2 linked regions of the Daphnia pulex genome follow. The protein of the gene in region 2 interacts with the protein of the main gene of each other region in a pairwise test. Links are inferred from orthologs where the notes say so. Each region holds a gene or a part of one and is shown on either strand. Other genes may lie near its edges.

Region 1 (6,732 bases), on a different chromosome or scaffold from region 2:
AGAGATGATGCCCGTTTATCAAGCGAAAAGTGAATCAAGCGTGATTTCAAAAAATCAAGGCGCTTATGTAACTAGCTCTCTTGGCTGCAACACCTACTAGCCAACTGCAGAGGAGACGACTTACTGTGGAGGAGAGCAATCACTTGGATCCCAGAAGGGCAAGAGCAAGTATTAGCAGCAGCAACCGTCAGCCAGTCTGTCCTGAAAATAGACTGGTCGACGGCGCGACAGTACCGGTTGGACTTGTGAAGAAAAAATCCCCAGCAAGCGGGAGAACTACAGCAACAATCTGCCGAACTGGCTAGAATAAAAAAAAATAAAAAAAAAATAAAATAAAATAAAAATTTCTTGTCTCTCTTCATGTCGTCTCCCTCTCCTTTTCGTTTTGTTTTTATTCCGTGTTTTCTCAAGTTTTATACCTTTAACGAGCAAGTTGGATTAAAATAGTTTGGATAAAGTCGAGCTACTTTTTGCAAAGCCCAGTTTCATACAGAAGGAGAAAATAGAATCCATTTTGAGGAGGAAAATAAGCAACTAACATTTTCCTGTTTCATTTTTGACACTATATCTATTGGACCTTTTTTCAGAATGTGTTTTTTTTTCAAGGGATCCTAATGCAATTGGACAAATCAGCTCATTTAAATTTAATTAAAGAAGAAAATATAAAATTGTATTATTATTTTTTTCCAAATGAAAATTGAGTCATACATTCCGGTAACTAATAACAGACATGAATGATTCCAAATGTCGTTAAATAAGTAATCAAATACGTAATAAAACTGCCAACTTGAGAGTTGAAAAATTCAAATAAAACGAAATCTCAATATTCTACATTCAAATTAACTTTCAATATAAAACAGATGCTGTCTGCGCCATTATTTCCAAACTGTGTGACATCGAATAAGACAGAAACGTGAAATTGTCTGCAATATTAATGAAGGCCATATAGTAACCCTATGGCGATAAGATTCTAGAATTTAATTTTCTGCAAAAAAATACGTGGTCTAAACTGACCGTTGTAAAAAAAAACGGACTTTTCTCATTTTAGGTTATTCCTGTATAATGTATTCGTTGAACCGAAGGCGGGTTTAAAAACACACCCTAAATAGTGGGTAGTCAAAATGTGTGTGGATCGAGCGAAAAGCTGATGTAGGTTGCTGCTATTGGTTCTGGTATGTTATATGTCGCCGTTTTTAGGAGGCGAAAGGGTGGTAAAGAATATATTTTGCGGTGGATCCTGCAAGGCGCGCCACATAGTTCGAATACTAGCGAGTTTCTTACTAGCGCGCTAGTCTGAAAATAAACCCAAACCAAAAATAGCTCTTTAGGAAACACGCTGGATTTACCTTTTCGTATGTTTTCTATGCACACAACCTCAGAAGGGATGCTTTCACATACGAAAGCAATAAGCGAGAGGGAAGTTTAATTTATTCTCCGGCTTTTGTTATTTCAAGTTTATTTGATGTTTATCTCCGTACCAATTTATTGCGAATGAACGGAAATCCAGTCAGCACCGTAAAAGGACGAATACATGTCTTTGATTTACGAATTACACAGAACTAAATATTTTCTACAGTCGTGTTTTAAAAGTGGATTTAGGACAGCTTTATAGTGTACACGGATGATTTTCAGACATTTACTCAGTCAAAGTTATTTTGATACTGTGCAACCAATGTAAATATAACAGGAAACAGGATGCTCTAGAATATGTTTTTCAATTTTTGTATCCATTCTTTATGTACTAAACACAATTTAAATCACTGTGAATCACTGTTAACAGCATGATTCATATTAAACAACATTTATGGAATTTTCGTATTTTGATTTTATTTATTTATTTTATCGTCAGAGGTTTTTGGCCACGGGAAGTCGGCAATAGACGGAACGGGAAGTACCAGGCGTAGCTTCTTCTCCAAGCGGTGAGGTTCTCAAGCTATGAGTTCATCCATCTAAAAGTATCGCAGTTGACTAGCCGAACTTTTCTATCTAGGATTTAAAATATAGCTATACTACATTTCATGAAACGAAAATTAGAAATCAAGTACCGATCATGAAAAAGGGAATTATGCAAACTGATCTCCTGAATACCTAATCTATCTATGTGGCTCATGCATTCACCAGCGTTCGTTTTCACACCTGAACCATCCGTGGGAAAGTTTACTATTACTGGCTAGTAGGCCGATTGTCGAATAGTACTTAAGCTTCGTAACGCAAGCCTCTCTTTGTATAAAGGGTTCATTCCTAGGGATGCAATTTCATTCAAACGACACAAACGTCAAACGGTATACAGGCCTACACGGTTTGTCCATGCAGAAAATCGGTTGTGCAAAGTTCCATAGTGACGAAGGAGAATCCATCGATTACTGCAGTAACTGCACATCCAAACTTATAGCCTTTTCAAAATGATTACTACAATACTACAATCTTGTTTGTACTTTAATTTGCCCATTTGTTTTATGAACATGAATACATAATAACTAATGCACTATTTCTAGCGATTAATTATTACTTGGCCACGTAAAATTAACGAACTGATACAGCTAAATTTCTAGCAAAAGGTTTTTTTAATACAGGTAAATCAAGTGTAAAGAATTTCGCAATTATACTAAGCTATCACGTGAAGGACGATGGGCACGAAAATTTATTTAGCAATCATTGTAATTCTTTTTACGATAGTTTTAAAGATGTCTTTGCTAGTTGGGAACTTCTTATCGGATTTCAATTTGTCTTTTGTATTTCTCGTGAATAAAAAATTGATTCTTGCTGAACTACATTCCAACCTGCTTTTAAAAGTTCAGGTTTCGCTTTTTCTGAAGCAGAAACATAACGGTGAGGTGTCAATCACCAATGGGAAACAGCAATATACAACAAGGAAATTGAGAAAGAAAAAAAAAAACACTTAGTAGTGAGGTCCATAAGACCTGGGCTTAACTGATTGATGGTTGGGGAAATTTGAAGAACGGAATATAGGAAAGTTGAGGCAAAAAGCAAAGCAAAGGTTGGTGTTTCAAACAAGCTAATCCATCCAAGATTGTTCCACACAAGCCTTTACTCGTTTTTCGTATTCGCGTCGATTCTCCTTGTATAGCTGTGCTGCCATCGAGTTGGCTGGGCTATTTGGATTGGGATCACTAAGAAGTGACTAAAAAAATTGATAAAGAATTCAATCAATCATCAAACAATAATAATCAATCAAAACATAAATACACATAGTATTTAGATGTATGAATCATATTTTACCTGGATAGAGGTGAGAATTGCAGAGACATCATAGGTGGGACTCCATCGATTTTGAAGGATGTCGAGGCAGATTCCTCCATCAGCATAAACATTGGGATGAAACATTTTTGACACAAATCTCACTGTAGGGGGCTTATTAGGGTATTCTTCAGTGAACTCAATGGTCAACTTAAACGTTCCATCTTCAAATGGAGTGTCATGGGGGCTGAAAATATTAAAAAAAAAATAATTAATATTCAATGTGCAAAAAAAGGAAATAAAACCAACATTATTTGTTAATAATTAAGTAAAGAAATTCATTTAGCATTCAACATACCCAAATATAACTGCATTCCATATCATAATATTGTTGTCCGTTGGAGCTCCACTTACCCCAGCAGGTGGATCTTCTTGCAATCTAGAGGATGTACATGAGATAAAAACAAAATAAGCGTAAAGAATACACTTCTTTTTTTAACGGAGCTTAGTTTAAAATAAGTATATTAACCTCTTGAAGTCCCTCATTAATCGTCTTCTGGCTGGTGTAGACATTAATTGTTGATTAACCCTATTCGACCGAAATAAACGCAGTTAACCTGATATAATAAGTTATCTGAGCACTTTATTGAAACTGTTGCGTTAAGAATTTATCCTTCGAAGAGAAATTCAATCGACTATCGATCAACCTAAACCATAAAATCTGTTACGAAGTGAGCTGAGAACAGAAGAAATCCTTAACTGGGGCAGCCATACAGCTAGTAGCCTAGTACTAGAAATCGGCAGCGCCCTAGTGGAATATTTAAGAACTTGATAGTGGTAACCGTCCATTTACAATTTTTCAATCACTTTCATCAATATGAACCAATGAAAAGAATGAACGTAGGTAGCTACAGAAAAAAAACGAGAAAAAAATATTTTCTTTTGTTTAGAAAATAACATAAAAAATAGAATTAAATTTAGAATATTTCGTCATTGCGCAATAGCTTTATTAAAAGAAAGAAAAAAACTGAAAAGAAACAACTTTTTAGATACAGCATTTCCAAACCAGCCATATTTGTGCATAACGCCCAAAACCGGTGATGTCAATACAGGTAACAAATAATATCTTGAAGTTGCCGGGAAAACATGTTCTCATTAACTTAATGCAAGCTTTTTCTTTTTGGGAGGTGGGTGGGTGGGTGTTGGGCTTGTAGCAGTTGGAGAAGACGAAAAAGTAGCGCTGAAGTTGAAATAAAATTTTGAAACACAAAATCAATCAAAAATTCTTCGGTGTAGTTACATCCAGTGAAAACGTTTATTATTGTGGGTATTACAACTATTACTTTAGGGTTTTACAGACGATCAACTTCTCATTACTACTATGACAGGTGACACCATCGAAACGTGTTTGTACCAATCCCTTGTTCCAGTTAAGTCGCCGTTATTAAGAAATTCTATTTAGGTTTGCATTGAAAAAATTCCAGGAGATGGTGTCGCACACTCAGGAATAATCTAACACGGATTCGACTTACAGTCAACACGAAAACAAAGTAAAAGTTTGATTCTTTAACATGTAGTAAGGTTGTATATTACTATCAGTTCGTCAAAATTATTACGCTCCTTTTGCCGCATTGGCTTGGGATTGGAGGGATTTAACTAATTTCATAAGTCCATCAGTTGACATGGATTTGGGTCGCTCGAGTGGGAGACCCAACGCACGATCCCAAACCAAAGATGCCAGCACACCGAGTGCTCGAGATACACCGAATAGTACGGTGTAATAGCTCATTTCAGACATGCCGTAATGCTGCAGCAAAACACCAGAATGGGCGTCAACGTTTGGCCAAGGATTCTTGACCTTTCCTGTTTGCAGAAGGATATCTGGGACAATTTCGTATAGCTGGGCAACAAGCTTGAACATCTTGTCGTCGGGCAAATGCTTGAGAGCAAATTCACGCTGACAAGTGTAACGCGGGTCAGTTTTGCGCAACACAGCATGGCCATACCCAGGTACTACTTGTCCAGAAGCAAGCTGCTGTTTAATGAGCTGGACCAAACCCTCTTTAGTCCACCCATCTCCCAAAGCAGCTGTAATTTTGTTTAAGAACACCAAAACTTCTTGATTGGCCAGTCCGTGAAGAGGTCCTGGTAAACAACAACAACATTTTAATTTGGACCTCACTACATATAAACCGTGCTAAATTAGAATACCTGCTAATCCATTCATACCGCCAGCAAATGACAAGTATGGATCTGATAAAGCAGATCCTATCAGATGGACTGTATGTGCCGAAACGTTTCCTCCTTCGTGATCACTACAAAAACATTTAAAAAATAGTAACGCCAATTAAACTTGACTTAATTATAATGCCAAGACGGCATTACCTGTGAATAGTTAGATAAAGTCGCAACAGTTCGGTAAACTGAGGGTCGGTGTATCCTAACATGGATGCGAAATTAGCTGACCAATCTTTTTTGGTATCGATCGCTCCAATCGAAGATCCATCGCGATATAAATTACGATAGATTGTGGCAGCGACAGTAGGAAGTTTGGCAATCAAATCCATAGAATCTTCGTAGACGTACTATAACGGTCACATCAATCGATTGATATCGTGTGTTTAAAAACATGTAATATTAATGGTCACCTACCTCCCAATATTTAGATTTGTGAAGTCCCTCAGAGTAAGCTTTGGCAAATTTGGATTCACTGTTCAGGGCAGTGATTGCTGCACTGAACTGTGACATTGGATGAAGGTTGGCTGGGAAATTATTGAGCATGGTCACAACATGAGATGGAAGATCAGCACGGCTTGCCCATTCTTTAGACAAGCTTTTCACCTAAGAAAAATAGTTAGGTAAAACATACAAGTGATATATCCATCAGATATTACTTGGGCTTCATTTGGAACATCTCCAGTAATCAAAAGCCAGAATAAACCTTCAGGTAGAGGTTCTTCCCCGCCTTTAGCTTTAGGTAGCATACGTTGGCATTCTGGAATAGATAATCCCCTGAAGCGGATTCCCTCTTCAGGATCTAGGACAGATGTTTCTGTGACCAAACCTTTCATGCTGCGCATACCTCCATATGCCTAGTTTTTTTTGTGGGTTATTTATGATTCATCATGTGATTTGTTCATATGTGTAACCCACCATATCCACTGTAATTTCACCAATTTTTACATTGCCATGTTCTTTACGGAACTTCTTGACACGTTCCTGTTCATAAGGGATTTTATTGTTAAGAACATCCTTCAGATCAGTATGATCAGAGAATGCTCTTACAATGGTAGAAATAGAGCCCTGCAGGATAATTATAAAATGTGTTACATAATGAGAATACCAATATTTATACAACTATATATATTAGAGGCACCATTTGAAACAAAAGTGCTAATTAAAAAAAGACATGGAAAGAATTTTTGCAATATTTAAAGAAATGGATCCTAGAAAGGCGGAAATTTGTTTCGAACAGAAGTAAGACGTCGAGGATTTTTTCACTTATACCAATTATATTTTACCTGAGGAGGGGAG
Region 2 (7,721 bases):
AAAATAATTCCAACTGGCGAATATAATCAAGATCGAGAATTGGACGACGGCGATTTTTATCCGCGCTCTCGAACACCTGTTCTGGACGTCTCTACGTGCTACAACAGGGGTCATTCATCAGAGATTGGTCTAACACCGACTGGGAATTTTCTAGGAGACTTCCCTCAGAGAGGTAATTAATTTTATATACGTAAATGATTCTTCTGCTGTTGACATTGTACTAAATTTCGGAATAGTCATCCTTTACCACCAGGAGCTGAACAGCAATACCACCACCATCAATTACCACAGCAACCGCAGCAACAACAACTGCAGCAACAACAACTGCAGCAACAACAACTGCAGCAACACAATAACCACTATAATCACCACGGTGGTCCACCTCAAGGTTTGGTTTAAATAGTAGGAAAAAAATGATGAACTTGAACTTATGTATTTGTCGGATATTTTTTTCAGAAATGGGAAATTGGGATCGTTCCCCTTTCGAACTGCAACAGCAATCATGAACCAGATCGCTTTCATTCTCGACCACCTCATAGCCAAGGCCCAATGAATAGACCATACTTTCAGCCAAAGCACCATCAGGGCCGATTTAATCAAAGTGGACCTCTACTTCCACCTCCAGGCAGAGGTACGCTCATGATTTTAAGTTTAGGTCATGTCATTTAAACTAATTTTCGGATCGAAGAATAGGGAGAGATCATCACGGACCACCAGGTGGAGATCAAGCGTGGGGTGGTCTACCATAATCTATGGATAATGAAGAAGAATGCATTATATAGGAATTGGAGGACCCACAATGCAGCCCATTGAAGTCGACATGCGGATGGAAGGCGGTTATCCGCCTCCCCCACCTCCACAAATGAGTGATCGGCATGGCGAAGGAAACTTTTGGCGGTTGGGGTCCAGGTCCTGATCCCAACAACTATCGAGGAGGTGGTGAACCTCCCGGTTCTTATGACAGAAGCGAAGAGGATGACCAGGTCATTTCGCTCCAAACTATCCTGGACAATTCCATCCACCACCACCGCATCATCAGCCTCCATCAGGCCGTTTGAATCCAGATGGCGTAGGTATTCAAAGAGGAGGATACAACAACTATTGATGGCGGAGACCTATCTAGAGAAGAATGGTAGTCATTTCAGAAGCTGAGCCATGGCTCAGTAGAAGTATCGTGGTCATTTACAACATTTCTTTGGACAACATTTCTACTAATATGTTTTTATACTGCAATTAATTCTGAAAATGAAGAAATGAACAAAGTTGGAGAAACCCTTTTTTTATTTATTCTAAGACATGACAGAATTCGTCTTTCCAGGTCATGTGGTTGATGTCGTTGTTTCACGCGAATCGTCGATTCGCTCGTCAAATTCTACTAAAATTTAATTTAAAATTCTATGCCCGTCTTATTCATTAAAAAATTTGTTTAGCTTCATTTCGATCGCCATCGTCTTCAGAAGCATCAAACGGGCTAATTAGTAATTCGTTCATCGATCCGATCCTCCTCTTCGCAAAAAAAAAAAACAAACAAACAAACAAAAAAACATCCGCGGACTATTATAGTATTCTATAGCTCTGCCCTAACCCCAAAAAATTTATTATGCACACTTCATCAAAAAAGAAAAAGTTGAACCCCAAAAGACCCGGAGGGAAACTGGCGACGCTAGGCGCGCAGCACAATTTATTGAGGTTAAACAACCGCAAGTAACGGCTGACTTTGTAATAGTTGTCAAACGACTTTTTTAAATCAATTGATCTTTAGTTTATTGTCCTTTTTGTTTCAACGAATAGCCAGCACTTCAATTGCATAACTGGCAGGCCACTCGAACCATGGGGTCAATGACTTGAGCTCCATTTCTTCGTCGATCAATTGGTTGCCAAAGATCGTCGAAAGAAATGATTAAAAATCAGCGCCCCTGTGCTTACACTCCACCATCTAGCGGTGAAAATAACAAACTCATGGTTTAAAATTATTCAAATATAAATGTTTTTTTTATCAATCATACTCACTCCCCAGATAGGGGAATCGGCAATGTATTTAAAAAAAAGTAGGAATTAAACGGGCGCCTCGAGCTCATTTTGTATAAAAAGAGGGATGATGTGACGCCATGGTTTAAATTGAAAAAAAAAAACCTTCATTCAAATAGACGAATTACAAAACAACACCGTATGAGGGGGGAGAGAAAAAAAAACAAGACTACAAAGAAACGGGAAGCAATATAACAGTCTAAATTCTTTTTCAATTTCAGTTCCAAAATTATTTTTTTGTCTTGAGCTAGAATTCCTCAGCTTTTTTGTTTTTTTAAAGATTATTGGAACCGAGATGCATCAGATTTTAATACCTCTGTTGAATTGTGACAACTTATTAACCGCCGATATAAAGATGGAACAGCTGATTAAATTATATAAATTTTTTTGTTGTATTGTTTTTTTTTTGGTGGAACCTAAGTTTTCTGTCAGCTCTTCCTTGTGTGTGTTTGTTATTTTTGCATTTTACAACTCATCGTGGTCTGCGTTGTCGGCTTCGGCTTCTTCAGCGGGTGCAGCAGGTTTGCTGGGCTCGGCATCGTCTTCATCTTCGTCATCTTCATCCTCGTTGTCTTCTTTCTTTGACTTGGCCTCTTCTTCCATCTTCTTCCGTTCTTCCTCTTCCTGAGCTTCCTTCATTTTCTTCTCGGCTTTGCTGGTGGCAGTCCACAGCTCATCACCAATCTAATGAAAAATTTAGAATTACTTTCTGTACAAACAACCATTAAAAGTCTAATTTGTATTATTACCTTTTTGGCTTCCGCAACATCGTCGGTGACGAGGACATTGTCGAAGATGGTGCCAGCCTTTACTTGCCACAAATCGAAACCAATGATGCAGGATTCGTCGTATTTACCAATGGTGGCATCGGGGGCGTACTCGGGGTTATCGATTTCTGGGTGGACCCAGACACCCTGCGATTAAGCAAAAAAGTTTTATAAAGACAAAGCCTCCCATCAACATTTTTAAATAGTTATACATACTTTGTAAGCGGGGTTGTCGATCTGCTTGGGTTTCCACTCTCCCTTGAAGGCAGGGTTGTCGATCATAGCAGGCTCCCATTCACCATCCATCTCATCATCCCAATCTTCGGGCTTCTTGGCCTCGGGGTCGGCAATGTGTTCAGGAACATCCCAGTCGGCGGGCTTGACATCTTCAGGATCATCGATCTTGGCACGGTCATCCCAATCTTCGGGTTTCTTGGCTTCGGGGTCTTTGATGGTCTTGGCAGGCAGGAAATCCCAGTCACTTTCCAAATCACCAGACTCAACTTTCTCGTTATCAATCAAAACCTGTGGAAGAAGACAAACAGTCCAATGAATAAACAGTGTGAAAGGTGAGCAATTAATAATGGACTTACTTCGTAGGTCTGATCTGGCTTAACGATGAGTGTGTACAAGTGAGTGTAAACATCATCCTTGGGTCTGATCTCTTTCTTGATGAGATGGTTCTTTCCCTTGTAGTTGAAGATGACGTGGACTTTCTTGTTGGAGGGACCGCAAATGTCAGGGCCTGTGACAGGATTTGGGGGTTATTTCAGCTACTATATCAACAAACTATTAATAAAACTTACCAAACATGATAAGGTATGGAGAGTCTCCATGCATATCATCTTGCTGCAAACTGCAGTCAAACAGCTTGACATAGCCACCTCCACAGTCAATGTTTTGTTCATGTTTGACGGTGAATTGGAGGACTAGTGGCTTATCCTTGTTGCTGAAGGGCTTGAACTTAGTGGAAAGGCCATAAAACCTGGCATCTTGGGAAGTCTGGATACCTATTAAGAGCAATTCATGTCATCAACTATCATCCAAAATAATTTATAAAATCCAGATTAATCCTTACCCAAATCTTTTTCAGCATCACCGTAGAATTTGCCGTGAGTGAGAACAAATTTGCCTGCTGTTTCACCTTTGTTGGTCGACTGGATCCACCTTTTCTCCCAGGCAGCTGAAAAGAACAAGATAAGACGTACACGTCACCAAATGCCACACATGAACTCGACAAATCGAAAAAGCCGGGTAGAGGTCGTGGCACGCTAAACGTCATCAACTTCAGTTTGAAGGTGAAGAACTTTTTCCTGTTATCTCTAGTTCACTTGGCTTTTATCATAATTTCTATTTCTCTTGTTACTAATCGGAAAATGTTAGGATCGTTTTCTAATTATTTTTAACCTTCAAATTTTTTTGTCGTCCGCAAACTCTCGTTCACGTCGTTTTAATTCCGCATGGCAGCGATGAAAACAGATGATCAACTTGATTGTAATTAAACTCTTTTTTAGTGGCATTAAAAGTGAAATTCATATTGCCACGTCCAAATAATTCGTGCATTACAACGATATCAAGCATTTGGCTTTGGCATGCAAAGTGCTTGCGTGTGAAAATGGCAGATATGTTAAAAATAGCTAGAATATTTGTTTTACGTGTTACACAGCCTCCTGTTGTAAGCTGACGAAATTTCTAGAAAAAGACTCCCCTGCTACCCTTGACAAGTAACCCTCTCCACCATCAACCAGATATCGGGAAAAAAGGGAAATACTTTATGAATCTTTTTCTTACCTCCATCTGAGAATCGCTCGTCGAGGAAGACTTCGGCCGCAACAACGCCGATCAAGGCGATTAATAATGCTAAAGCTTTCATTTGTACAAATGAATGTGATTGAAGACGATGAACGAGTGACCAGGACAGACGAGTGAGACAAACTGACGTGATGACTCTCCTTTACTCAGGAGAAGTTTTTACGGAAAGGGAATGGGAAGGTGGATAACACCCGTAATGCTCTCATTGGTCGGTTTGTCACACTAGAGCCAGAGAGATGAGCCACTTGGTGGGTGGTATCCGATCGACCTGCTACCTAGCGATAGAGGGGCTACTAGCCGGTGTTGCATATGAAGGCCCGGGAAGATTCCCCAGGCTACCGAGAGCTCATCGTTAGGTGGCGCGCAAATCATCGGGGTAGAATCTTCTAGAGAGTTGCTCATCTCATTCACGAACTCACGTTTTTCTCTGGCCGTCACGTGACTGTCGTGTACCAATCAAATTGCGCCGTCTGGCAGGCGTTCAATTTTCCACGTTTATTCCAGTTTTCGTATTATCCGGTCATCTATGAAAACGCGTTTTAATTTAATTCTCATGAACTTTATGTATTCTATTGTTAATGCGCATTTTTTTCATTCACGGCCAAATTCTTTTCTGTGGACTATTAAACAATCCTGATATTGTTATATTGAGTTTGACAAGCATTTCCTGTATGCATTTTCAGGTAATCAAAATTGGTAATCTGACATGCCCATATGGAATCTCAATATCGATGACGTGTCGTAAATAGAATATCTCTCCGATTCTCCCTTTCAATAAAAGTTGGGATACCATATATTCCCACATGTTCATACAGCCATGTGACGTATAGCTCGGGGGGTGTTGTCTTGCGATTAGATTGGACCACGTACCGAGGGATAAGACGCGCGTTACATCCCAATTGGAGGGGATTCTTACTACGTAGACAAGTGACCAAAATCGACACGTAATCAACCACAAGCAATCGTAACGCTTATACAACCGTATATTCATGAAAACATCATATCCGACGAAAGGGGGGGATAATAAAAAACGAACCGTTTAACAACCGAGAAAACACACATAGAATAATAATGTTACAATCAAAAAGAGAGAAAAAGAGAGAGAGAGAGGACAATTAATTAGAAGATTACATGTAAATTTGGGGTTTTGCAATCATGAGAATTTGGTATTAAAAGGGGGAGGGGAGGAAACACTGCAAAATGGACCAAATATTTTTTCTTTTTTTTTGTATATCGATGTTATTTTTGTGAGGTCGCGCTTCTAAGTCCGGTTTTCTTTTTCCTTATTCTTATCCTGCCATGTGTGAACACCAATTAATTTTTAATTATATACATAATAAGGTTTTGTTTGCTGCCAATTCGTCTTCGAATAGCAATTAGGGAAATTGAGGTGATTTTCACGTGCAACAACATTCAGAAGGGGAGAGGACGATAACGCACAACAACCGAGAAAAACGCAAAAACGAATGCATTCTTTCTTTAACAACTAATATAAACTTTTTCCTGCCAAATAATCAATGCACGGAATGCTCAACTTTTGATATTGCGGACCTACTACGTCGTGCCAATTTAACCCTAAGTAATCGCAGATAAACGATAATATGAGACCGATGATGTTTTCACTGTGGCTACTCAGGGAAGTGTGTGTTTGGAAAACGAGAAAAAATGGGTACAACAGTTGTGCAAACATCCTCTAACTATCGTCGGAAAGCCAGGAAAGAAAGCACACACATAAAAGGGAATGGCTGAACTTTGCAGTTGAGAAAAGAAGAAAACTAGACACAAGGAAAAAGAAATTTTTTTCTGACTAATTTTAGCTCGGGCAATTTTTGGAGGAACTGGTTCTTTTCTCCAGGCAGAGGCTACAAGAAAAACGGGGGAGAGGGGGGGGGGGTCGCCTTGAAAGGGCAGACACACATACGAACCGGATTGCATACACCGATGATTTGGTTTCCGAGTAAAAAACCGAATGATCGCGCAGGAAAATAGAGAGATAGAGTGAGAGAGAAAGATAGAAAAAAATTGACATCAACTACTGTGCAAGGAACGTCCAGGTTGATGCGGGGTTACGGGTACACGATCCTGCATGACACACGCACTACTTTAGATCCCCATGCGATTCTTCCGCGTCCAACATTTCTTCAATATCGTCGGCGTCAGCTCCACCTGTCTGTCCAGATCCTTCGCTGCCGAGTTCGTAATCCTGAAGCTCGGCCTGTAACTCCTTTTCCCATTCTTCATCTGTTTTTGTTAGTTATTAGTCATAGAGGAAGGAAAAGAAAAGGAAATTCTAGCCATGATTCCTTGATACTTAAAATTAAGGATTATTGACATTCCTAAATACCGTTCGGTTTCTTGGTGCCCAGACGTTTGATGCCCTCCTGGACTTCTTTCAGGTCTTTGGATAGCGTGTTGCTTTGATATGAATCGGAAACAAACTCGTTCATCGGAGAATCAGGCGTATCGGCGCCCTCTGCCGAAGGATCAAAGTTAAAAAGACTAATTGCATCACTTTGAAAAATAGATCTTTACCTGTTTTGTCCTCTTCGTCGAAGCTAGATTCACGAGAATGGTTGGCAGAGTCCCTGTTGCCTTCTCCTTGGGTCATCGAAGAAAGTTCCGTCGATTGCCTTAAAAGACTAACCCGGTAAAAATAGTTGCGCCAGAATAGCTCCTCTTTGATGCTGCATTAATCAAAGTAATTTGGTTAAGGATAAGAAGAGTCAAAACGAAAATATTCAATTACATTTTGGGGACCAGTTCAAAGCGCATTGTTTCCAGGTTTGGATCCTCAGCGAGTGTTGCTAGGGCGATCGGGTAGAAAGAATCATAGTCGAACTGGAAATCAACGCCTGCAGGTGGGCTTCTCACAAAATTGCGTCGATCCTGCAACGACAGGAAAGGGCCATACGGATTTGCTCTTTAAAACAAATAAAATAATCAATCCCTTACAGTTGAAAGTGACAAGATTTCAGCCTTTAGGGCCTCCTCTTCCGGGTAACCGACCCAAGGTGGGATGGATCCTTCCATTTTATTTTTGCTCTTAATGAACGCCTCTTGTTCTTTATTAAACTCACTCAGGATGGTCTGCACAATGAATTGAAAAAAAAAAGA

The links.
Region 1: the proteins of calreticulin-like (region 2) and ubiquitin-conjugating enzyme E2-17 kDa interact in a two-hybrid assay, tested with the Caenorhabditis elegans proteins (2 studies listed by BioGRID). The link is inferred for Daphnia pulex from reciprocal best matches to the Caenorhabditis elegans genes crt-1 and ubc-1.

What each region holds. Positions count from the first base shown.
Region 1 is NC_060018.1:6,450,033-6,456,764, forward strand, and holds ubiquitin-conjugating enzyme E2-17 kDa, read right to left. Parts: upstream 4,008-6,732; 5' UTR 3,772-4,007; coding exon 3,728-3,771; intron 3,638-3,727; coding exon 3,557-3,637; intron 3,446-3,556; coding exon 3,241-3,445; intron 3,143-3,240; coding exon 3,017-3,142; 3' UTR 2,712-3,016; downstream 1-2,711. Other genes in the region: probable citrate synthase 2, mitochondrial, read right to left, coding at 4,811-5,343, 5,410-5,513, 5,584-5,783, 5,851-6,039, 6,093-6,290, 6,352-6,501, 6,720-6,732. UniProt on the Caenorhabditis elegans protein: Catalyzes the covalent attachment of ubiquitin to other proteins.
Region 2 is NC_060026.1:14,045,029-14,052,749, forward strand, and holds calreticulin-like, read right to left. Parts: upstream 4,805-7,721; 5' UTR 4,669-4,804; coding exon 4,587-4,668; intron 3,979-4,586; coding exon 3,874-3,978; intron 3,806-3,873; coding exon 3,602-3,805; intron 3,541-3,601; coding exon 3,389-3,540; intron 3,321-3,388; coding exon 3,012-3,320; intron 2,943-3,011; coding exon 2,778-2,942; intron 2,713-2,777; coding exon 2,494-2,712; 3' UTR 2,397-2,493; downstream 1-2,396. Other genes in the region: synapse-associated protein of 47 kDa-like, read right to left, coding at 6,706-6,848, 6,952-7,080, 7,140-7,291, 7,354-7,493, 7,560-7,694. UniProt on the Caenorhabditis elegans protein: Molecular calcium-binding chaperone promoting folding, oligomeric assembly and quality control in the endoplasmic reticulum (ER) via the calreticulin/calnexin cycle.